Nothobranchius furzeri: one gene and its partner. The protein of the gene in region 2 interacts with the protein of the main gene of each other region in a biochemical or structural test. Links are inferred from orthologs where the notes say so. Each region holds a gene or a part of one and is shown on either strand. Other genes may lie near its edges. The genes, in order: ticrr and topbp1.

Region 1 (12,003 bases), on a different chromosome or scaffold from region 2:
TCAGATTATTGGTTCATAAATGTAGTGGTAATTAAAAATGAAATTAGCCAACACTGTGAAATGGCCATTCTATAGCTTAAAGAGCAAATTGCAGGTTAGAGACCCCATGAACCAATGTTTAAAGAAACAAAAGAAAAACTCGATTTAAACATTTTTTTACACAAACATAAATTCATTAGGCTTTTACAGTCATTTTTGTGAGAAATGTTTTATTTTCCAAACCAAGTGACATCAGCTGAGCGAGTCCTGTTAGCTTAATCCAGAGAAAAATATGGATTCTAATGCCGGCTCTGACACAGAGGAAACTTTAAATGTTTATTATTCTACTTATGATGCACCAAAACCATAAAGTTATGAGTTTGCTGCTCGCCCCAGAGAGCAGAAACAAACCTGAGGGAGAAACCATCGGCCAAAACAGAGAGATTGTGGAGAAGCAGTGAGGGAGCAGCAGGTGTCTTGTGAGTTAACGGTGCTAGCTTAAACTCGTGTACTAACATCACAGTGTTGGACAGATTACTACCATGTACCAGGCAATTAAAATAGTATCTGTTAGTTATTATAATATTAATACTAATGAGCGTCTGTCAGTTGTCATACTCGTTAATATCCGTTCACGTAACGTAGTTTAGCGTTGAGAGAGAGGCGCCTGTCATCCGGTTCTGGAGCTCATGCGGGCTTCTGTGAGCTGGATCCGGCCTAGACACAAGGGAGCCAGTTGAGCTGGTATTTTTAAAAGCCGTGCATCTTCTCCTGGTCGTCTAAGCGGCGGTTCTGATCCGGTTCCGACCCAGACACCAGCTCTACTGGCCCACTGAGCAGCGTGTCTCTTCTGGTGGTCGTTTCTGACCTGGTTCTGGTGGTGATCTGAGCTCCAGAAATCCGCATTTAATTTTTTAAACCCACCACGGGTCTCCAGAGCCCAGCGCGGACCTCCCTGTCCCGGTGCCGACCGATGTGGGCTACAGAAGTCCGTCTTTTCAGCTGTACTAAACGGCCTCAGGCCCGGAGATAGAAGCGTTGTTTCTTTTATCTGGAAACCCGTGGACTCGATGTCCAGACAGGCTGGAGTTGGTACAGCCTTCACAAACTATAGTATCAAAAGGAACACAACCCAAAACTAGCAAACACACACACACTGACTGGATCACATGACCTCTCTACCCTAAAACTACCCACTCTCCACACTGAGCTGAGGCAGCTTCTAGCTTCTAACTCCCTTTGGTTACGTCAGAGGTTAAGATTTAGAAAAAAGAGCCTTTTTAGAAGCTTTGCTGAGAAAGGCCACTTTTTACTAGAAAAACTCTGCCGTTATGTATTTTAAAAGGAAATATCCACAGTAAGCTTTTCAAATAGTATTTTTGGACAGCATTTTATATGAATTAGAAAAAAATGTATCTGCAATTTGCTCTTTAAATTAATTTCCACCTAATTTTGATAGCATTTGCCCTTCATGTAGATATTTGTTTCTTGGCTGCTTCTGATTTGTTTCTTTGTCATTAAATCAGAACATGAGTTTCAGTATTAACTCTAGCTATAAACTTGTTTAACTTGTGATTTGGTTTTGTTGCAGAATTGAGGAGGAGTCCAAGACTAAAGTCGTTTGCTAGAAGACACTCAAATGTTTTCTACTCGAGTTCTCAGCCTCGTTCTAGAAACCTAGAGAAGGCTCTGTCTGCATCCCAGCTCACGCTCAGTGACAGAACAATCCCCGGGATTAATGTTAAAGAGGTTCAGTCTCCTTTGCGTCTTCTTTTTGGAGCTGCTGATTCTCCCAGTCGTTCCTCCGTTGTGTTTGTTGAAAGCAGGACCACCAGGTCTCGCTTCAGCTCAGACTCAAGTGTCTTTGAAGTAAGATATCTCTTTAATTATTCTAAACCTCACGCACTTAAATGGATATGTCTAAAGTATTTATCAGACATGAAAATCTAACTTCATCAGATGGCATATTACCACACAATGTGATTTTCAAGCAAAAATTAGAAGAAAAGCCCAAATTTGTCTAATTTATTTTTATTTATTTATTTATTTTTGTATTTTTAGAGTCCAAACAGAACCCCAAAAAAGTCACTCAAACGTGGAAGGCCTGCTTTTGAAAATGTATCTCCTGGGACACTTCAGACTGCACAAATCTCATCATTGTCCACAATGGATGTTTCTTCGTTAGCCAAGAGTCCTGTAGCCGGCAGCTGTGGAGCTCCTGAAAGTCCTTTCAGACCTCCAGGCAGATCAGAAGTTGTTATAAACACACCTATCCAGCAAAGTTCTCTTACGAGCCCTTTAAAGGGTATCCTTAAGACCCCTGTTAAAGCTTCGATTCAGCATGGCGCCTCCTCAGGATTACATCTACTCAACAGCCCGGCATCAAGGACTCCTAAGAAGAGTGTTACATGGTCACCGTCTCCTCAAAAATATAGACTGGTGGAGGGCAGCACTACTTTTAAGGTCCCCAAGTCACCCAATATGGCTTCCCCCAGTTCTGAGAGACAAATGAAAATACCCATAAACAAGATGAGTCCTGTCCAAAATACAAACACTAAAAGATGTGTTTTTAACGTCCCAGGAAAGACTTGTCAAGTGAACCTGGTAAGATTCTTTGAACATGATTTGAGTCCAGAGAAAAATCATTCATGGGAAAAATATGTCAAATTGAAAACTCCTGAAAAAGATGAGAAACATCTGGAAATACTCCCTTCACTGTCCCCAACACCTTCAGACCAAAGGATCTCTCCTCAGTCCAACAGCAGAACTCAAGTAAAGAGCCCTAGTCCCACTCACAGAATGGTTACTCGCTCTGGACGAACTCCGGTGGGAAGTTCAAAAGCTGCATCCCAGTCTGACCCAACATTTCCCCCTTCAGGAGTCTCTGAACTTTCAGCCGGATCTGATTCTGCCGTTAAATTTCACGAAAAGAGCTTGAGAAGAATAAGATCTGGTCATAATCATGGAACAGCTAGAAATGACTTGGGATCTAAGTCGATTGAGAGTTTAGCCTCCCGACTAACGTCAGCCTTTCCTGAGAACCATCCCGTTACTAAAGAGGAGCAGGCAAAGAGCAATCAGTCTGCTGGATGTGACTCCAGCGTTCATACCGCATCGCAGGAGTTTGATTCATCCCATGGGAATTCTGCCACCACAGACGATGATAGTTTGGATATTGTTGATGCTGCAGTTGTTAAGGCTGAGTTTAATGAAGGCCTTAAAATGAACATTAGCTTCTCAAGGAAGCCTTCAGTGTCTACTGAAGAGTGTTTGTCAAACAGGGGTTCGCCTGCTCTACAGTCTCCTTCACACAACACACCTGGCCGGAGGTATGGCTTTCGACAAACCCCTGACCGCCAGCAGAGGGAGGCTGCTGCTCGTTTAGGATATGCAAATGAGTTTAATCACTTTTCAACCCCTAGAGGCCCAGCAAGATCCAAACAGCTAAAAAGCACCATTACTCCAAATCCACTCACCTATCAAGTTGAATTAGAAATGCAGACATCAGGGCTTCCCAAGCTCAAAATTAAACGCAGAGATTCCATGAGTACTGATGACTGTACTGATGGAAGTCCCTGGTCAGCAGCTCAAAGCTCGTCTGTGGGTAAAAAACTTAGCATGGAGAGTCCAGCGGCTTTATTTTTAAAGCACAGAGATACTGGATGTAGCTCACCGTTTGTCTGTGGTCATGTCACTCCAGCCAAGAGCACCCCTGGAAAAGGTGGTAGTGTCCAAACTTACATCTGCCAGTCATACACACCTACACGCCATGCCACAGTAGCGTCTCCGGTGACCACTGCGGAGATTGGCCCTTTAACTCCTTCACCTCAAAGTGTGGGGAAAGTGACTCCAGAAAATCTCAACAGCTGGCCTCGCAAGAAGAGAGCCCACATCAGAGTGTTTGGGGGGAAAGAGCAGGGCCCTAAGGGGGAGCCACAGCTGGAAGAGTTGTTGGAGGAGGCTGAGCTTGGTGTCAGTAGGTTACAGGACTTCGAGGACATCGACGAGCCTTCGAGTCCCACAGCAGAAAAAAAGGCTTTGAATTCCGAACAGTCACCCCCAACTGCTGCAGATGTTTCTCCTCTTTCACCACTGGAGGATTTGTTTTGGATGGAAAGGCTGGCTGAACAGACCAGCTGTGCTGATGCTCAGAGAGCTGAAGAAGTCCTCTGGGCCTCAGACAGCTGGGATGTCACAACAAGTAAGAGCATTTCCACAGTTCACACAATGGTTTCGGTTTTATTAATTTGAAAATCATGATGTAAGGTTATAACCACATCATATTGGTATTTTGTGATTACATTTGTACAGTCTCAAAGCAGGTTTTCAGTTCCAGTCTAGACATTACCATTCTCTGTTATTTGTATCTTTTGGGCTGTAATGTCCCCCAAAGTTTACAGATGATTGGGTTCATTGGCATCCCCAAATAATCGTAGCTTGTTTATCTGGATAATGACTAGTAAGCAGCCCAGTGTAATGATAATGAACTAGTGAGATGGATTGACGAGGAATGTTGGGCTGGGAAGGTGGTGGCAATGTTGAGAAGGTCACTCAAAGGAGGAGCATGATTATGGATGGCATTGAATGTAAATGGTTAAAGTTCCATTAGTCATCACACACCAGTAAAATTCATCTCCACATCTGACTCATCCCCGTGGGGAGCGGTGAGCTTTAGCTATGGCCGTGCTCATGAACTATTTGGTGGTCCCCCCCCCCCCCCCCCATCCAGCGCCTTTAATCCAAGTATCAGGCAGGGAGGCATTAGGTCCCATTTTTAACGTCTTTGGTATGACCCGACCGGGATTTGAACCCCAATCTCCGAGTCTCAAGGCGGACACTCTACCACTAGATGGATGTTAGAAAGTTTTTCTGATCCTGGCCACTAGCCAGTGGTGTTAATGGAGGACAGGGGTGATGTGATAAGAGTGGGTTTGAGTGATGAAGCAGGTTACTGATTTCTGGACCAGCTGAAGCTTATGGAGGGATTTCTGAGTGAAAAGCCTAGACAAGAGTTACGGTAATCAGTGTGGGAGGTAACAAGACTATGAACTTGAATGGGTGCAGCATGAGTTGAGAGAGAGTTGGTAAAGTTATGAGGGAGGGAGAATGGAGTCGGGTTTACTGGAGTGGTAGAGATTTCACCAAAGGGGAAGATGTTGGGCATAAACTAAGGAGCCCCAGGATGGAACCCTGTGGCACACCACAGGTAATAGGATCTTAGGGATCTTAAAGACTTAAGTTGAATGAACTGGGTGTGACCCAGTGTGTCTCTGAGATGGGCTTCGTTGTCTCATCCATGACTGAACAGATTGAAGCAGGTTTAGACACATTTTTGAAAGGTTTGAAATCATAAATGACTAAAACTGAACTGAAATGTTTTTTTGTTTTTGTTTTTTACATAAAACATTTGAGAAATCTTTGATCATGGTTATGATGACCTTGAGCTGGAATTTCAGTAACTTACTCAGCTCTGTTTTCTGTATTGTGGTAGCAGTGACCCCGTCCAGCATGAAGAAGATAAAACCAGTGACTGCAAGTGGTATTTTGACCCTCACCCAGTCTCCGTTGCTGTTTAAGAAGAAAGCTGATTCTGCTTGTAAGGGAGCAGCAAATTTTAAAGGTAAGATGTAAACATGACTACAGAATACGTGTTTTCATCCTTAAACTGCTAATTTATCTTAGATTTCAGGCACCTATAAATGAGCAAGCTATTTTAGCCAAATATATGATGCCATAGCTGCCTTACTGTAGTTTCAACTCGTTAACAGGACCTAGTTATTCCTGAGAGCTTAAACAAGATAAATAGAGTAGATATTGCATGATGCATACTGCAAGTAAACTCATCCTGTCTTTGTTTCCCCCTTTGTTGTAGAAGAAGCTGCTTCAGGGACGACAGAAGTAGTTGCTGAGCAGTCCCCTTTCAGACAGCCAGTCAGACACTCAAACACGGGGAAGACCTACAGCAGAAAGAGGCTGCTTCACTGAGCCAAACAAAAAGCCTGCACGGCAAGCAGAGAAAGACCCGAGCTGTTATGAAAGACGCCTTCTGCCTGCTCTGATCCAAATTCACTGGTTGATTGGTCAAAACTCTGGGATTTGAGATGAAGAGTGTGGTTTAAAAAAGATTATTTTTATAGATGTTGGAAGTTGATTTCACGTTTTGTTGTAATTACGATTCTAAGGTTTCCATGTTGCCTGTTTTTTTTTTTTGTTATAAAATAAACATTTGGGTAAATAATGTCATTTTATTTATTTTTTTAATTAAGAATTGTAACATGTTACAGTCAAGTCATAGTCTAACTTCAATATTGTTTATTTGTTTAGTTTCATATAGAATCTATTGATATTGATAAAATCACTGATATTTTTAATGAAATGGGAATGTCCAACTGTTGTAAATATGTTGCCTAAATTTTGTAAATAAAATTTATTGTTTTAAATTTATTGAAAAGCAAACAGTTGTTCTGTGTATTGAAACTTTAACCAGATTAATTTTTAAGTTTCAGGGACTAAAGTGGGTTTATCGAGAAGTGTGACATGGTTTCTGTGTATTCACCTGCTTTTCAAGGGTTGTGCTGTCGGTCTGATAACACAACTACTCATGAATACATGAGTCTGCACCGTTAACCAAACAAAAGCAAGCTCATTTTGGCACAGTTTTCAGTGTTATTGCGGAACAGTTTAAGGCTGAGGCATATATATTATCTTTTATTTATTTGTTTGCTCTAAAGACAAACTTTGTAAAATTGCCCTTAAGTGGTATTTTATTTCTAGTTTTCTCACTTGTGGCTGAATATTATTTTAGCTGCATAAACTGCATAGAAGCAGCAGCTTCTGACTGGTCCAGGAACACGTGGTGGACGGATTTGGTTCATGTTGTGAACTTTGTACTTGGATTTTCCCACAGAAGCTGTGTATTTGCAGATTCAGGTTTGTTCACAAAAGGCTATCAGAAAGTGCATTTGCTAAAGTGCTACTTATACAACCAATTATCTGATGTGACCAAATGACATGACAATGTTGGGTCGATGGCTCCTGAAGTCTAGGTTGTTCTAATGTAACTGGGTAGGAAAAAGCTAAAACAATATGGGTGCTTCAGTAATTCTAACTTAAATGTTCTTTATAAAAACCATACCTAATGGATAAAAGCTTGTTTGCCGTGCTCTTCAGTAGTTGTGGTTGAATTTCTGATCTGGGATGCACTTCTAGATTTGGTGGCTTTTATTATTTTTGATAAGCATGGTTCAGTGCACACAGGTGCTGAGTCTAATAAAATTATGACAGCTGAAGAGTTTGTCCTTTGAGGGGTGCCCCCAAGGGGGCCCATGGCCGCCCTTAAAAAAATTACTGGCCTCACCCACCAGTAAACCATATTTGTGTCTGCACAAACAAATTAATTCTCCAATGTTTAAAATTGAAATAAAAGCATATACTTAATGAGTAAATGAAAGAATCATAATTTAGAAGATGTTTAAAGGTCGCTGCTTCTCATAACTTTCAAAGTGTAAATTTCCCGTTTTTGTGGATGTTTTAACGAAGACAGTAATGTCCATTAGACTCCTCCAGAATTCTAAAAAAAATATATGTATATATATATATATGTGTGTGTGTGTGTATATATGTATATATAAATATGAATGTATATATATATATATATGTGTTATATAAATATGTATGTGTATATATATATGTATGTACATATATATGTATATATATACATATATATATTTATATATACAATGTTGAAGTTGTTCAAATAACGGCCTGAAATGCCTTTTTATGAAATGTTTGTGTCTCAAATTTGAGGTCAAATGTGTTTGGACTTTAGTGAAATGAATTTAGTGTTTAGTATTAGATTAATCACCTATGGTCATGAGCTTTGGGTAGTGATCGAAAGAACGAGATCGCAAATACAAGTGGCCAAAGTGAGTTTTCTCCGAAGAGTGACTGGGCTCTCCCTTAGAGATAGGGTGAGAAGCATGGTCATTCGGGAGGGGCTCTGAGTAGACCTGCTACTCCTCCACATCGAGAGGAGCCAGTTGAGGTGGCTCGGGCATCTGGTCAGGATGCCTCCTGGATGCCTCCCTGGCGACGTTTTCCGGGCACTCCAACCGGGAGGAGACCTAAAGGTAGACCCAGGACACGGTGGAGGGACTATGTCTCTCACCTGGCCAGGGAATTCCTTGGGATTCCCCCAGACGAGCTGGCCCAAGTGGCTGGGGAGAGGGATGTCTGCCCCCATGACCCGACTCCGGATAAGTGGATGAAAATGGATGGATGGTATTAGATTAATTGTACCGCCTCTGGCAGACAGAGTTAGCATAAGGAGGACCAATTATTCAATGCTCCACCTCCACCCCAAAATTTTCTCTCAAGAACTAGGTTTCAAGAACTCTAGAAGGCGCTATATCAAATACAGGCCATTTACTATTTACTTTAAATCCAGTATGCGTGACGTAATGAGGAAGTAAACGCAGGTTTGAATGACTGGCGTAACCTTGATGCAGTGTGAAACAGATGAAGAAGCTCTTCTGTCTAATGAAATAGAAAACAGTGGACCAGTGGGGGACCTAACTGTATTATAGCGTTTTCACTGATGTGATGTGAATCATAGCCTCACTGATGATGGATGCTCGCCACGCACCTACTCACCATCAAGTTAGCCCAAATATAAGGTGTTGGACTTCCTGTAGTAAACAACCCCCCAGTAATCAAACGTTTTAAATGGTCAAATACTAAATGTTTAGTAAAAACTGAGAAAATAACGATTTTAAAACAAAACACGGTTTTTAAAAACGATAGCCTACTTTTCCTGCATATCAGTTCTGAATCTTATCTTCTCCCACACACCCACTTAAATGATTTTTAATAATGTTTTACTCGAAACACCTGCTTTAATTTCCATTAATCAGAAGTAGCACTTGTGTTGATGATTTCATCACCAAAAGGTCTGGTGTGTTTATGTTTTTATTTACTTTTGGACTAATGTGATGTTTAGCTACATTAATGTTAATCATCATGTAAAGTGTGTTTCTAAGCAGTTGTTGAAAAATAGAATTTAAATTGTCGATTTGTATTCAATTAAATTTAAAAATGCCCCCAGATGTCACCTCCTCTGCTAAAATGCAATGCATCATTTAATCTTTTTGATCAAGCAGACCAGATTTTTTACAAGTTAAATCCCGTTTTGCTAGTTCACAGCAAAAGTAATCTATAAATGAGTGTTAATCTTTTGCTCTTAAATTTCACCTGATATCCAAAAATCAATAATATCAGTAATACACAATCTACATTAAAGATATGGGTTCTCCTGTTACAGATGCAAATATGTAGATGTCGTGGTCAGTTGAGGGCCAACATGTGCTGCTGATTTTCACAGCTGATATCTAGATATTTTCTAACTTATTTACTTACTAAAACATGTCAGAAATATCAGTAGACACAGAACATTTCTGAACATGATTCAGTTTTTTTAAACTGAATTTAACAGTTAAATCTTATTTTGTGTTAGAATAATTTAACCAAAGTTAATAACTCCAATTATTAAATATGAAATGTCAGTTAAATGTAATGTTTTTGATGTTTATCAGGAATGTAAATATACGTTAATATAAAATTCAGGAGCGGCTCCAGGCTGCCCATGCCTGTATTGAAATCGGCTCTACTAGAATGGGCGGATGGAGACAACATATCGTCCCTGCTGTATGAGCCAAAGCAATATGGCAGCCTATCTCTTATTTATATAGGTTTTCGATCATTCTAAAATGTTCGCTTTAGACCATCATATCAGGCTACTTTCAAGATTATTAGAAACATGCACAACAATAGTCCGAGTCCAGAAAGTTTCCACGCATGAGCTTTTATTTTGAAACCTAGCGTAGCTTCCGGTCCGTGTCGTGTGTCTCCATCCATCTTGACGATCCTCCTTGAAACGTTCTCACAATTCCATCAGAGGCTCTTTCTTCATCACCTTCGCTCCAACCCAGTTCGTTTCTCCTTCCGTGGGATTAACATCTCTTTAACACTATTAAAATCAACATGGCCAGCAGCTTCTCGAGAATCCTTTCCTCCAAACGAAACATCGGCATCTTGTCGCTGATGGGAGGCTCCGTAGCGGCAGGGTTTCTGCTCCAGCGGGAACACGCCAGCGCCGGATCACCTCTGCGCAGGAGGTACCCCGCCAGGTAACGTTGTCCCTCCGGCCTGAGTGTCAGTTCAGAACATTTCTTAATGTTTGAGCTAGAGGCTGACCTTGTTTTACAGAAAAATGAGAGCTTTAGTGTTCAACGGCTGTGAAATAAAGCAATAAAGTACAGTGAATCATGAAGGTTAAGGAACATGAAGAAACGTTTAGCTTTTAAATGATTAAAAGTCATAATGATAATATTGAGGTTATTTTAGCATTGTTACTGAGTAATGAGCAAATAGATATATCATTTATAATTATTTATATTAGCTAATGGAATATTACTGCGTCTACTGGTCAAAGGCCCGAGGACCCGAAGAAGAGTGCCCTGCACCTCTACCAGAATTATTATATTATATTATATTATATTATATTTCAGAAGATTTACACCTGAAACGGAAACAAACTGACATTAATAAAGCAATGTCTTAAAAGTTGAATGCAGAATGACAAATTCGCACATAATGAATATTAATACATGAGTTCAAATAGACCAGATTGCTTATTTAAGTTGTACTCAGAATGAGGTCAGAGAACAACCAATAAACCAGATTTTAAACACGTCATAAATCTACTTTCATTTCCATGTACGGGAGAAAGAAAGAAAGCCTACGTGCTCAGAAACACACCTGCACCAGCAATAAATCAGCCTGACTGTATGTAGATTAGGGAAACATTATCTGCTGCTCAGAAACCAAACCCTGCTGGATTATAATGACCATGCACAAAAGCACCTGCGGTTACAAAGTCAGTCTTATTGTTGCCCAATGTAACCATAAAGATTTTGCTGTATTGTAATTACATCACGTTTATGACGTTTGCCAGTGATTAAATGTGCACCATGTACACAGTTTGTGTTAGATCACCTGTGGGCTACATCTTTTTTTGTTGTTGTTTTATGTCATTTCCTGTCAGCTAATCTCACACAAACCCTTTTGGGCTAAGAAGAAGTGATTTTGGACACACAAAAACTTGGTCTCATAAGTGTCTGGTATCATTTTGCAGGATCATCTTGGAAGACCAGTGCAGTTAAAGACTGAGTTTAACAGATTTACTCAAGACAAGGGTCGTTATACCTAACCACATTAGTTTGTAGCAGAAAAAGGAGGAATGTTGTATTTTGTGTAATAAACCTACAAAATAACTCAAGTGCTGAAACCAACTCATCTTTCTGTGGGTCTACTCTTTTAGACTCACCACGCTGAAACACACATTTTAACCTAATTAAGAGTCTTGTGCCATTTAATCGTTGTTGTACACCAGAAGAACCCTTCCAAATCAAATGTGTTCTGCTCATTTAATTAAATTAACCACTCATAATTCATTGATTCAGGACTGTACAATTGAAGTTAAATGCATGAAGTGGTGTGTGTGTGTGTGTGTGTGTGTGCATTTGTTCAAAACATCTCGCATTATGAGATTATGTTAATAGAAACAATGAGTCATTTTGAGCCTTAGCCTTATGATCTGAGAGACTCAATGACTCTAGTCTGTCAAGGTGATCTGAGCCACGTTTCATTTTTCACCCTTTTGTAGGATATTAAGAGTAGTGACGCGCCAAAATGAAATGTTTGGGTCGATACAATATCCGATGTTAAGATCACTGTTATGGCCGATAACCGATATTTGCCAATACCAATATACTGACGCTCCTAAAATCAACAATTTTGTATAAAATGAAAATTATTAAAACGAATTTACATTATCATGTACACACACCACACACATTTATGGTTCCGAGATGATTTCATTCACTCTTCACATGACTAAACAATTACAGCCCCCCCCCCCCCCCCCCTCGTTGTTAATATCGGCCCAGGTTTATTTATCAAACCGAT
Region 2 (12,148 bases):
TATCTTAATTAGCTTCAACAGAAAGCCACCTGAGAGCTTCCAGGGTCCGTCTGCTCCCGCCGCGGCTGGCTCGGCTCACGTCGGGTGTGTTCGGACCAGAATCAGCACCTCCTGATCCCATTCTAGCCAGTCTCACAGACGTGCGTCTGCCCGTCGTTATCTTGGTGGCGGACATGATCTCCTGCAGCTGTCGTTGCAGGGTCTCCCCCATTTCCAGCATGTCTGAAACGTGAAACGGCCTCTGTTACCTCGTGGTTCGTCATAAACGCAGAAGCAGCTAGAAGACGGACACACGTCACCTCTCTTCTCATCGTGATCGTCGCCTCCGTTACTCACAGCTGAGGTTGCTCCTGCAGCGGGGAGCTCAGACTGACGGGACAAACAGAACCGTCAGACATGAGATGGAAAACATCAGTTGCAACACTAGACCAATGCTACCTTGTCAAGTTTGTCTCGGAGCCGTGTTCGTGGGAAAGGCGGAGACTTCTGGGAGCTGCTGGGCACCTGGCTCAGGTTTAGGCTCATCTTGGGGTTGTAGGTGAACGGATACAGAGACTCTGAGACGTGCTTCTGCTCCTCGGCACACTGAACGCACGCAAACACGCACACACACGCACACACACGAGTGTTTTATTTGTGTCAAAATCAAAAATCTGTACACAGAAATTAGACTTTTACAAAACTTTACTGAATAAAGCCGACTTTAAACATTTTTGAGACTCACAGCGTGCAGCCAGTACTGAGATACCACATGCAGCCCTCTCTCCTTCACCCCTCTGTACTCCCTGGAGCTGTCCCCCACTCGACCCTGGTAGATGTAGTGGGTCACCGTGTCATCACAAGCCCATCTGAAAAACAAAGGTGTTTTTGAACGATCTGGTTATCCCAGTAATAGTCCCAGTGTAGCCCCATTTGTTTATATTGTTTAAAACAGAAACATCCATCAGGTTAGTAACTAAAAACTCCCAGAAGGCCGAGCACCTGAAGTCAGCTCCCAGCGAGGCAGCAACAGCGTTTAGTTCGCTCTGCATTTTGCTGAGCTTCTTCGCCACACAGATCACAACACCAGTCAGAGGTCTGGCTGCTGCTTCTGGAGCCTTTGGGATAAAATGATGATGAATCACATTTATATTAGTTACAGGTGCTGAAAGAGAAACTCCAACCTTTTCAAGAGCAGAACCAAAAGCAGGTTTAGGACATATTTACCTCCTTCTCTGTCGTCTTGGCCAGCTGTGGGCTGGCGGTGACGGCCTGGAGGTCTGACATGTTCCCACGTGAGCTGTTGGCCAGAGCCACCTTCAGATTCCGGTTGATGACATCAGTCAGCGGCGTCTCCACCTTCTCTCCTGGCTTTGATCGCCCACCAGGCGTTTCCAAAGCTCCCAGTGCATCCTACAAAAATAAAACCCAGCCTATGACATGTTGTAGTTTGGAATGTTCGGTGTGGATGTCTGCTGCTGTCTGACCGCGACGTTAAACGACGGTCTGAAGAGCTGATCTCTGCTCAGGAACCGAGATGGCGTGTCCAGCTGCAGAGGAGGCTCCTTCTGAGGCCGCCTCCTTCTACTGTCCTCCTGGTTTTGTTCGGGTTTCATCTCATCCAGCACGGAGCGAAACACTTTGCTTTGGAAGCGGCCCAGGTCTAGCGGGGTGACGGCTTTCCCGCCCTGCGGACCCAGCAGAGGGATTTCAGGGGAACGTGGACGCGGCGGAGGCAGGATGGGTTTCTGGGAGCCGCCCACAAAGCTCTCTTCATCTCTCTCTACAAACGAGGGACATTTGAGGTGTTGGGAAAGCAAAGACAGGTTTTGTTCTCAAACGAACCAAAAAAATAAATAAATAAGAGAAAAACCTGGAGAAGGAGGTAGGTCAACCAGGTACTTCTCCTCCGCCGCCCTCTTGCCCGTACGAGCGGATTCCAGAATCCAGTGCATGGTGACAGCAGGGAGCCCCCACTTCTTTGCTGCCTGGTACTTTGTGCCTTCAGGAGTCTGCAACACCAGGTGAGTGCTGGCCAGCATCCCTTTCTTCTGGTTGGCCAGGCGCACAAAATAATCCTGCACACTACAGCGGGGGGGGGGGGGGGGGGGGGGGGGGGGTCATCAGTGATTCGTTTATGAAGCAATGAGGCAAATGTCCCATTTCAGATCTATGATGCATCAGGTTAAACTCAGAAAACAACGAGCAGGTAGTGGTCGTACTTTGCTCCGAGGTACTTGGCGAGCTCCACCAGGGACTCCCTCTCTGCTCCAGTAAACTGGCTGACGGAGAGGACGCAGTCCTTTAGAGGAAAATGTCCCTCCCTCACAGGGACGGGGACAAACAAAGGGTTGGCGGACAGACGTAGAACACACTCCTTCTCCACACACATGGCCTGAAATCAACAACAGGAAAACTTTAATATAAAAAATGCCAAAGTCTCAAAAGAAATAAAAGTTTTTGTTCCTTTGCTACCAGCCATGTATCCGTGACGACCTCGTCCACCGTGGCCTCCACCGAGCGGCCCAGCAGCGGAACCACGGCGTAGTCCGCCACCGCTCGAGTGCGGGCCGGCAGTACCTTGCCTCCTCGTTCTGAAACCAGCACGGAGAACTGCGCCTCGGCTTCAGGATCGAAACCCACAAGGAGGAAGGACCTGCCGGCAAACAGGCCTTCCTGCTGGGTCGAGTCTTGCGTTGCTCTGGTATGATTGGGTTCCCACGACTCGGGTTGGGGCTCTGCAGCGGTGCTTATGGACTCCCTGTTCTCTCCTCCTGGTGGTGGCACGTCAACTTAAAACACAAAAATGTACTTTGTTTAAAAACCCCCACATCTAATGCAGAATAAATCCTGCAAAAGCACACTCCCACCAACTGTTGGGTCGCCGTCCATGTACTGTGAGAGCAGATCCTCATCTGCCGTCTTTAACCTGGGAGTGGTTGGACTGGGAACAAGCGGTCCGGCTGATGATCTGGGAGGTGGCACGGATGCTGCAGCTGCAGCAGGAGGAAGGCAGTCAGGGTGGAGGTATCCTTCCTCTGGGAGCAGAGCGCCTCTAGAGAAACTATCCAGCAGCCACTGCACTGTTACCACATGAGGCCTGGAGAATCACAAAAACACACCTAGTTTATTTCAGGTCAGTTTCACGTTTCTAGAATTGTTTATTTTATGTTCCGGTTTTTGCAGATCAAACAAAAGATCAAATGTTTTATTAACCCTAAAAAGCATACTGATTTATTTAGGAATACATTTTTTAATACCTTGATTGTTTAAAAGATCAAAACAAGACATTTTAAAAGTTTAAAGCACATTTTTATTGTTTAAATAAGAATTATTTGTAAATTACAGTAAATCTGTAAGGCTTGTCACCACCAGCATTCACACGTTCATTCTGTTTGTTTCACAGCCAGACATTATTATTTCTACCTATAAGTGGCTTTAGAGAGAAACTTGTGGAGCTCCTGGTCCAGCTCTCCCATCACCACATGAGTCAGTTCCTCACAGGGTTGGTTGAAGCGCAGACCTCCGCCAGCGTTTACAAGTCGCCGCAGCTTCTCCAACTTCTTCACCGGAAAGCCACAGAGATACAGCTGTGCAGCAATAGAACAACAATAATATCACCTCAAATTGACTAAAATAACTATAGAGAATAAAAAAGTTTATGTTTTTACCTTACAGCCATCCAAAACATCATCGACAGGACAAACGGTGAGATCAAGGCAATCTACGGGGTCCGACGTCTCCACACGACTCACGGTGGAGTTGGTGAGGGCAGTGTCATTTACCCCAACGCTAGCACTGACAGAAATGTTGCTCAAGCCCAGCAGAGACGGACCATCTAGAGACAAAATGCAGATGTGATTATTAAAGATGCTCAATTTTTAAATAACTAAAAGACGCGTGGCAAGCAGCCGACCTTGCCGCTTGCTGGTGCCAGTAGGAGTAGAGGTGTGCGGTGCGGAGGTTTTTGATGAACGGCGGTCCACGGCGTACCTGCTCTCATCTTGACAGAAACCCTTCTCTATGCTGTCAAAGAGCCAGTTTACAGACACGCAGTAAACATTCCACTTCTTGGCGCATTCGTACTTCTGACCTGGAGCACCGATAAAACGGATTCTTAGAGGGTTTGTAATAAATCAACAAGTTCCCCAAAGCCGTTAGTGACTTACCAGTTGGTTCACTAACAATCAGGTGTGTGCAGTCGTTCATTTTGAGCTGGCCAGTGTATTTAGCTCCGTGCTGCTCACAGAGCCGCTGCACCTCCTTACGCTCCAGGCTGGAGAGGCCCGTCACACAAACTGTACAGCCAAGCAACACGGGACACAGATAATCCTCCACTGGCAAGTCTGTATACCTTAAAAGACTGGGAACAAAATGGTGTAAAGAGGTGGTTTTAGAACAAAACCTTTAGAATTAGCCGTTTTTATTTTTTAGTTTAATCAAGCTGAACACCTATCCTGGGTCTTCTCCCAGCAGGCTTTGACCCACGAGGGCAGAAGGATGGGTTTACCCAGGTTGGCAGCCACCAGGTATTTTTTACTTCCAACCTCTCCTGCAATCAGGTGCGTGACAAACACATTGAGATCAAGACTGGCCCGTCCACCCATCAGTTGCACCAGATCCATCACTTCTGTCTGCAGAAACACAAATTAGAAAATAAAAGCAACAGTCTTCAAATTACATTAAGAAGACTAACTAACTAACTAACTAACTAACTAACCCGTGTTGCTTTGTCCAGGCTGGTGCAGGAAATGGTCACATCAGCCATTGCCATATTATACACAGGTTTCTCTGCTTTGGGGACACAGCGCTGATTCTGTAAGCAGTACAGCACCACCAGTGGACTCACGATTCTGCAGCCAAGCTGCAGGACAAACGGAGGCAAAAGAAGAGTTTTCCTCAAAGAGTTTCAATAATCCCAACAGGACTTATAATTTCAGAGTGTGACAAACGGAATCAGACCTGCATACAGTGCAGGAAAGCTGGAGAGGTGAAGCTGCTCAACACAAACAGAGACCTGTCCTTCTGCTTCATCTGCAGCACATCTTCTTCCTTAATGGTTTGTAAATACTTTTCAGACTGCAGCTCCAAAATGGCCTGAATAAAATACGACAGAATTAGAATCACTAAATGCAAATAAATAAACAAACATTAAGCAAGGCAGTGAGATTTACCTCATACGCTTTGGTGGCATGATCTGTCAGAGATCCTTCACTTTCCACAAACTTCACTAAGAGGCATTCCTTGTTTCCTTTAAGCATGTTGAACTTGGAATAAACACAGTATGTTACAGTTGCCACTTGATGGAAGCAGTATCTAAAATTACAGGAATTTATTTATAGACTAAAGCTTCAGCTGTAATAAGTCTTAAGTTACTAGCTAATGTTCACTTTTAGCCTGATCATATCAGCCTAATAACTAAAAACATGGACTATACTCACCTCCTATGGTTGGACTCCGGCTGGTAGTGAATATAAAGACATTTCCGTTTCTACTTAAATTCGGTAAAAACTAACTTTTTATAACAAACGATGTTGAGTTTTAAATGGCTGCTGCTAACTTAGCCGGTTACAACGTGAAAATGTTTAGAAAAAATGTAAAACTCGTTTTTTTAGGACAAACCGGCATAAAATCGCCACAACATTAAATAAATATACAAATAATTTATAGTACGAAAATTTAAGCTAATTGTTGACAGTTCGCGCCTTTCACGGAACTTCCGGTCCTACTTGCTAATCTGTCCGAGTAGAACATCGCCTCTGTGGCTAATAATAATAATAACTATAACATTCCTGAAGAAATTTGGGACCTGCCACCTGGCACAATAAAATGATCATGCATATGTAAAAAAAAAGGGACTCTTTAGAGAACCTGTACATATTTAATTGCTTATTATTCAAATGTCATGCAATTTTACAGTGGCACACAATCAAAATGAAAAAAAAATATCGGAGTTTTTTTGCTAATACTTTTTTTTTTGTTGCAAAAATCAAACAGCAGTGTGCTAATCATGTCTATGGCCGTGTTACAAATTTATACACAATAAACAGACCTTTTGCACTGATTACAATATAAAAATAACAATGCAGTAGAGTACTTTAGTAAATGAGGCATTAAAAAGTCCTATCTTACAAAATATCTCCAATGGGCCGAGCCACCTCACCTTCACCTGGTCCTGACAGCGCCACCTCTCCACCTCCGGTGGGCTGTCACTCCTCTTTTCCGTCTGTTTCGACCGGCGCCATCGCGGAACCTCCAATGGGCCAAGCCACCACACCTCCACCAGGTCCAGTGGGCGTTTACGGCGTTATCCCCGCACCTCCGAGGAGCCGTGCTCGTCGCAGATGTCATCGCCATCACCAGCAGTCTCCTGAGACCAGAGTTGTGCCGCCTAACCCAGAGGCCCCTGCTCTGCAACCCAAATCTGAACTCATCCAGTCGTCTGAAGCCAGAGCTGTGCTGCCTGACCAAGAGGCCCCTGCTCTGCAGCCCGAGCCAGAACTCCTGAACTCATCTACAGCCAGAGTTGTGCCCCCTATCTCAGAGGCCCCTGCTCTGCAACCCAAACCTGAGCTCATAAAGCCATCTTAAGTTAGAGTTGTGCCGCCGAACCAAGAGGCCCCTGCTCTACAGCCCAAGCCAAGACTCATGAATCCATCAGACGCCAGAGCTGTGCGGCCTACCCAAGAGGCCCCTGCTCTGCGACCCGCGTCTGAGCTTCATCCTGCTCCAGCGGTGGTCCCGAAGGACGCATCGCATCCTGCTCCAGCGGTGGTCCCGAAGGACGCATCACATCCTGCTCCAGCGGTGGTCCCGGAGGACGCATCGCATCCTGCTTCAGCGGAGGTCCCGTAGGACACTGCGCATCCAGTCCAGCTCGTCCACGAGCCCCCAGTCCAGCCCGTCCAAGGGGCTCCGGTCCAGTCCATCCAAGAGGCTCCGGTCGACGCCTCCTGTCCAAGGGTTGACGCCTCCTGTCCAAGGGTCGACGCCTCTGAGGTAGACGTTTCCAGCTCTGGGGTAGACGTTTCCGGCTCCAGCTCTGAAGTCGACGTCTCCCCGCCTTCAGCTCTGAAGTCGCTGTCTCCCCGCCTCCTGTCTCGAAGTCGACAGAAGTAGATGTTAACAGCTCCAGCTCTGAAGTCGACGTCTACCTGTCTCCTATCTCAAGGTCTACGTCCCAAGTCTCAAGCGTTTCAGTCTCCCAAGTCTCAAGTGTTCCAGTCCCTGTCCCAGTTTCACGTGTTCCAGTCCCTGTCCCTGTCCCAGTTTCACGTGTTCCAGTCCCTGTCCCTGTCTCACGTGTTCCAGTCCCTGTCCCTGTCTCACGTGTTCCAGTCTCTGTCCCTGTCTACAGAGACCCTTCCTCGTCCGCTGAAGTCCCTTCCTCGGCCTCCCCCTCCAAAGCCCCCGATCCCCAGGGTTTCCTGTTCCCGCCTCCTGGTTTCCCTTCGCCGGCCTCCTAGACTTCCCCTGGTCCCGCCTCCTGGTTCCCCGTCGCCGGCCCCCTAGGCCTTCATGGTCCCGCCTCCTGGTTCCCCGTTGCCGGCCCCCTAGACTTCCCTGCTCCCGCCTCCTGGTTCCCCGTCGCCGGCCCCCTAGGCCTTCATGGTCCCGCCTCCTGGTTCCCCGTTGCCGGCCCCCGAGACTTTCATGGCCCTGCCTCCTGGTTCCCCGTCGCCGGCCCCCTAGGCCTTCATGGTCCCGCCTCCTGGTTCCCCGTTGCCGGCCCCCTAGGCCTTCATGGTCCCGCCTCCTGGTTCCCTGTTGCCGGCCCCCGAGACTTTCATAGCCTTGCCTCCTGGTTCCCCGTCGCCGGCCCCCTAGACTTCCCTGCTCCCGCCTCCTGGTTCCCCGTCGCCGGCCCCCTAGGCCTTCATGGTCCCGCCTCCTGGTTCCCCGTTGCCGGCCCCCGAGACTTTCATGGCCCTGCCTCCTGGTTCCCCGTCGCCGGCCCCCGAGACTTTCGTGGTCCCGCCTCCTGGTTCCCCGTCCCCCGAGACTTTCGTGGTCCCGCCTCCTGGTTCCCCATCCCCCGAGACTTTCGTGGTCCCGCCTCCTGGTTCCCCGTCCCCCGAGACTTTCATGGTCCCGCCTCCTGGTTCCCCGTCGCCGGTCCCCGAGACTTTCATGACCCTGCCTCCTGTTCCCTCCTCGCCCCGGCCCCCGAGACTTTCATGACCCCGCATCCTGGGTCCAACCTTCTCTCCTAAACGTGACAATAACGTAAAGCAAGAAAGGAGAAAAAATGTATACCAAATTAACACAAAAGGAGAATATTTACATGACTACAAACACATACGTACATACATACATACAAACATGTATTTAGACATATGCATACATACACTCTCACGTGAGATGTGCGGTGCTACGTACAGTGCCTGCGTGCGTGAGATAATAATCGAATAATAATAATTATAATAATAATAATAACGCCCACAACACTAACACGACAAGTGCTTCACTTCATCTGGAATGCGTTCCTTTGTGACATCATCATAGCTAATTAGTCAAGTCAGAAGTCAGAGGGCATAAACAGCAAGCGGTAAAGCCAGCAACACCTTAAGAGCCTACGACCTTTTTTAAAAACCGAAAATGAACTCATTGAAGAAAGTTATTTTTGAAAATACAGTTTCCCTCGGGAGGAATGTTTTCATACCAACACTGCTAAAATATATATCTGACATCAGAGCAGATCAGTGGCAAATACAGATTTCTGGTATGGCAGGCACAGAATTTGAAGGCATCTTTAAAGAAATGGCTACTGAAATGTATCGGGTAGCCTCAGCACAGGTTTTATGCATTATGCTGCCTTAAATTTGTACATATATGCAGACCATGGGAGATTATAAGTGTGTCGTGTCTGCTAGGGTGGAAGACGTAAGTGAGTGCATGGCACTTGTTTTAGGGATGCCGTATGAAAAGTCCAGCAGTGGTATGACTTTGAAGGGAGTCCTGGATAAAGAAGTCTCTCAAAATGTAAATAAGATTGTATCTTCTATTATAAAGAGCAAGACAATTCCAACAGTGCCATCAGATTATGTCAGAGACTCCACGCTCTGTTCTGGCACGCTACGATTCATGTAAAATGTAAATAAGATTATATCTTCTAGCTGCTTAAACCCTTGAAAAAAATGCCCTTCTCCCCTTTTTCATCTAATGATCACGGTTAACAGGAAATGAATGCTGCAGAATCTGTCTGCTTTTCTCCTGAGTGGTAAGTCTTGTGTGAGCGCGTGCTCGCAACTTGTTTTTAGACTGAGAAACTCCGACAGTGCGTCTACCACTGCCTCAGCGCTGCTCTCCATCCACCAGCCAACGCCTCTATCAGAAGCGTTTCCTAACTGGAAGTGTGCATGAGATATGTCTCCACCCATGCCTTGACTCTCACTTTAATGTAATGTTACTAGGACTAGACAAATATCATGTTTACAGAAATGCTGTCTGAATGATGTTTGCTGAAACTGATTGCTAAACCTGCTTAAGAACGACGCTAACACTAAGCTGAAATCATAATATTAGGGTGATGTAGGCTCCACCCACTCGGTAAATATGCCTCCCCGGCTCCTCCCACTAGTTAGTATAAATTCAATGTGTGCCTTTGATTTTAGGCTCCACTCCACTATACCTATTGAGTTAGGTTTCCCCTGCTGTTTCTAAGGTTTCCCCTGCTGTTTCTATGTCTTGACTAATTTCTGGCTCATTACTTTCTTCAGACTTTTGATCCCAGGGAAATGGATGCTGAGAACGTTTTATACTTAGCCCCTCCAATAAGGCTGCCATTTTCTCATCCTTGTCCTGATTTGGATCTTCCTGCTTATAATCAGATAATAATTGTTTTGTTTCTGCTAAAGCTGTATTGAGCTGTTCTAGCTTATCTGTTAATCGTTCACAGAAAGCTTCACTTTGTGCCAGTTTTTCACAAATTGACTGGTTATATTTTTCCATCTGAGCCAACGTGTTCTGTTCCATCGAAGTCACCTGGGGAATCAACCGTCTTTGTTGCTTTAACCTTTTTAACCTCCAATCATCGAAGGTTATGTCCGCATCCAACCAAGCCTGTATATCTTTCTCTTCTCCATTTAACAAAAGGTTTTCTATACGCCTTTGACTTTTCAAGGTTTCTAGCGTGTCCTCAAGTTCCTGAATTTTTCTTTGATTTTTTATTAAATGACCTGAAATATATTTTTTCTTCTCAAGACCAGTAAACGTGTTTATCTTACTCGATGGACCCGGTGAATTGAACTGCAGTTCTTCATTGTCTATGGTACGGGGTGAAAAATGTTTAATTGCTCGGTACATATGGACTACCTGCGTATCACACCCTAATTTATAATCCTTTAGGGGTTTGATCTCATCTTGGAGCTCTGTAATTAAAAAGCCCTGTTCAGAAATTGTTTTATCATTAGCAGAAACCGCATCTTTTTCTTGTCTTAATGCAAGAATTAGATCAAGATGTTGCTTTTTCTGTTCCGCAGAATGCTTCTCTTTTAACCTGAGTTTCTCTGCAGAAATGTCTTCTTGCTCTCTCAGAATTTGCTTTCCTAAATCTTCATATTTCTTTTGTATTTTAAACCTCTCCATCTTTAATTTTCTGTTCAGATGAACTAAATCCATTCTAAAAGGCGATAACATGTTGAAAGTAAAGAGTAGATCTGTTCGTCCCGCTGTAAACGTGTGGACTGAGCGACGAGTCTGACGTCACTGGTAATGGAGCTGAAGCGATCACGACACAACAACGCCCTTTATGACGTCATTAAAGGGACAAACACAAAGGCAGAGGTGGAATGTAACGAATTACAATTTACTCACGTTACTGTAATTGAGTAGGTTTTTTGTGTATTTATACTTTTTAAGTCGTTTTCAAAATCTGTACTTTTACTTGAGTAAGTTTTTAAAAAATAATTTTAATTAGCTACATTTTAAATCATATCCGTTACTGAGTAAAAATAAACTGTAGGCTTAATAAATTAAAAATATTACGTGTAGCAGCGTCGGAACAGAAAGGGACGCCTGCATGAGCACCGCGTCTCAGGGGTTGGGGGGGGGGGGGGGGGGGGGCAATCTAGATAATGAAGACAAACAGCCATTTTTACCGCAGTTTTGCTCTAAAACATCAGTTCTGTCCCTGTGATCCACTCGCTGTTTACCTCTTCTATCCCTCCTCTCCTGTGGGTTGGAACCCGCACCTTCGCGCACCGGTGTGACGTCATCCGAATTCTGCTCGGTTCGGTAACCAGGCTCGGTTCCGTGTTTGAAATGTTTCCCTACCGCTCCGCACGGAAGCACCAAAATAACGTTCAGCGCTCATAACAAGCGGATTCTCAGCGCTTTGCTCATAAAACAGAAGACCTGCAGGCCTCCGTGGGTTAAAACATCCTGATATTGTTCAAATGTAAACACTGTGCTCCATCCCTGTTTGAACTCAGAAGATGCTTATTGATGCCACAGAGATGTGATGATTTAGTTTGTTTCTTTATTTTACTCCAGAATAAGAGATTACATTTTTACAAAAGCAGTTCAATGTAGTTAAATTAGCCAATCAAAAGATTCTAACATGCTGCAGTGTGTGTGTGTTTCACATTTGGGACTGCATGAGACAGCATGGTTTCATCAAATCCATGCATCTTATTTCTTGGCTGAAGTAATGGCTCAGGAAAATAACGTATATTTCATAAATAATGACGTCTCTGCAGTGTTTATAATATTTTATCTTATATCGTACCTATCTTTGTCATCACGAGTGAACGTGAAATCAATCACCATGAAGAACAAACAGATCACCACTTTGGATTCCCTTTTATTCTTAAAATTTTATGTACAACTGTGACTGATTTTTTTAATGTACATTCAATATAGAAAGTTTATATATGCAATATTACATTGAACATTTCACAAATTGCACTAGTTTTTCACATAGATTCAAAATCAAAGTCATTCTTCGTGTCAGAAGACTCTCCTTTCCTTCAGTTATTTTATTCATTTAATATTCTGACTTATAAATAATCTAGTGCTTTTTGCATTCTGGGGAAAGAATTACTTAAAACGATTTAGGCAGCGAATAAGACGATCTTTCACAGAGTGAGCAGAGCCGGTGGGAGGAATGAAAGGCTGAAATGTTAGAGCAGGTTTGTGCGACAAAACCAGAACAACCAGCTTCAGTCAG

The links.
Region 1: the proteins of topbp1 (region 2) and ticrr form a complex in vitro, tested with the Homo sapiens proteins (2 studies listed by BioGRID). The link is inferred for Nothobranchius furzeri from reciprocal best matches to the Homo sapiens genes TOPBP1 and TICRR.

What each region holds. Positions count from the first base shown.
Region 1 is NC_091744.1:55,000,870-55,012,872, forward strand, and holds the end of ticrr (treslin), read left to right. Parts: intron 1-1,570; coding exon 1,571-1,848; intron 1,849-2,040; coding exon 2,041-4,180; intron 4,181-5,470; coding exon 5,471-5,599; intron 5,600-5,851; coding exon 5,852-5,964; 3' UTR 5,965-6,095; downstream 6,096-12,003. Other genes in the region: ckmt1 (creatine kinase, mitochondrial 1), read left to right, coding at 10,018-10,163.
Region 2 is NC_091747.1:45,071,739-45,083,886, reverse strand, and holds the start of topbp1 (DNA topoisomerase 2-binding protein 1), read right to left. Parts: upstream 5,615-12,148; 5' UTR 5,421-5,614; intron 5,247-5,420; 5' UTR 5,241-5,246; coding exon 5,154-5,240; intron 5,077-5,153; coding exon 4,942-5,076; intron 4,844-4,941; coding exon 4,700-4,843; intron 4,614-4,699; coding exon 4,432-4,613; intron 4,343-4,431; coding exon 4,149-4,342; intron 4,073-4,148; coding exon 3,896-4,072; intron 3,818-3,895; coding exon 3,651-3,817; intron 3,570-3,650; coding exon 3,406-3,569; intron 3,080-3,405; coding exon 2,850-3,079; intron 2,772-2,849; coding exon 2,455-2,771; intron 2,375-2,454; coding exon 2,202-2,374; intron 2,065-2,201; coding exon 1,853-2,064; intron 1,763-1,852; coding exon 1,467-1,762; intron 1,393-1,466; coding exon 1,207-1,392; intron 1,098-1,206; coding exon 982-1,097; intron 849-981; coding exon 725-848; intron 586-724; coding exon 439-585; intron 370-438; coding exon 300-369; intron 223-299; and 2 more. UniProt on the Homo sapiens protein: Scaffold protein that acts as a key protein-protein adapter in DNA replication and DNA repair. Composed of multiple BRCT domains, which specifically recognize and bind phosphorylated proteins, bringing proteins together into functional combinations.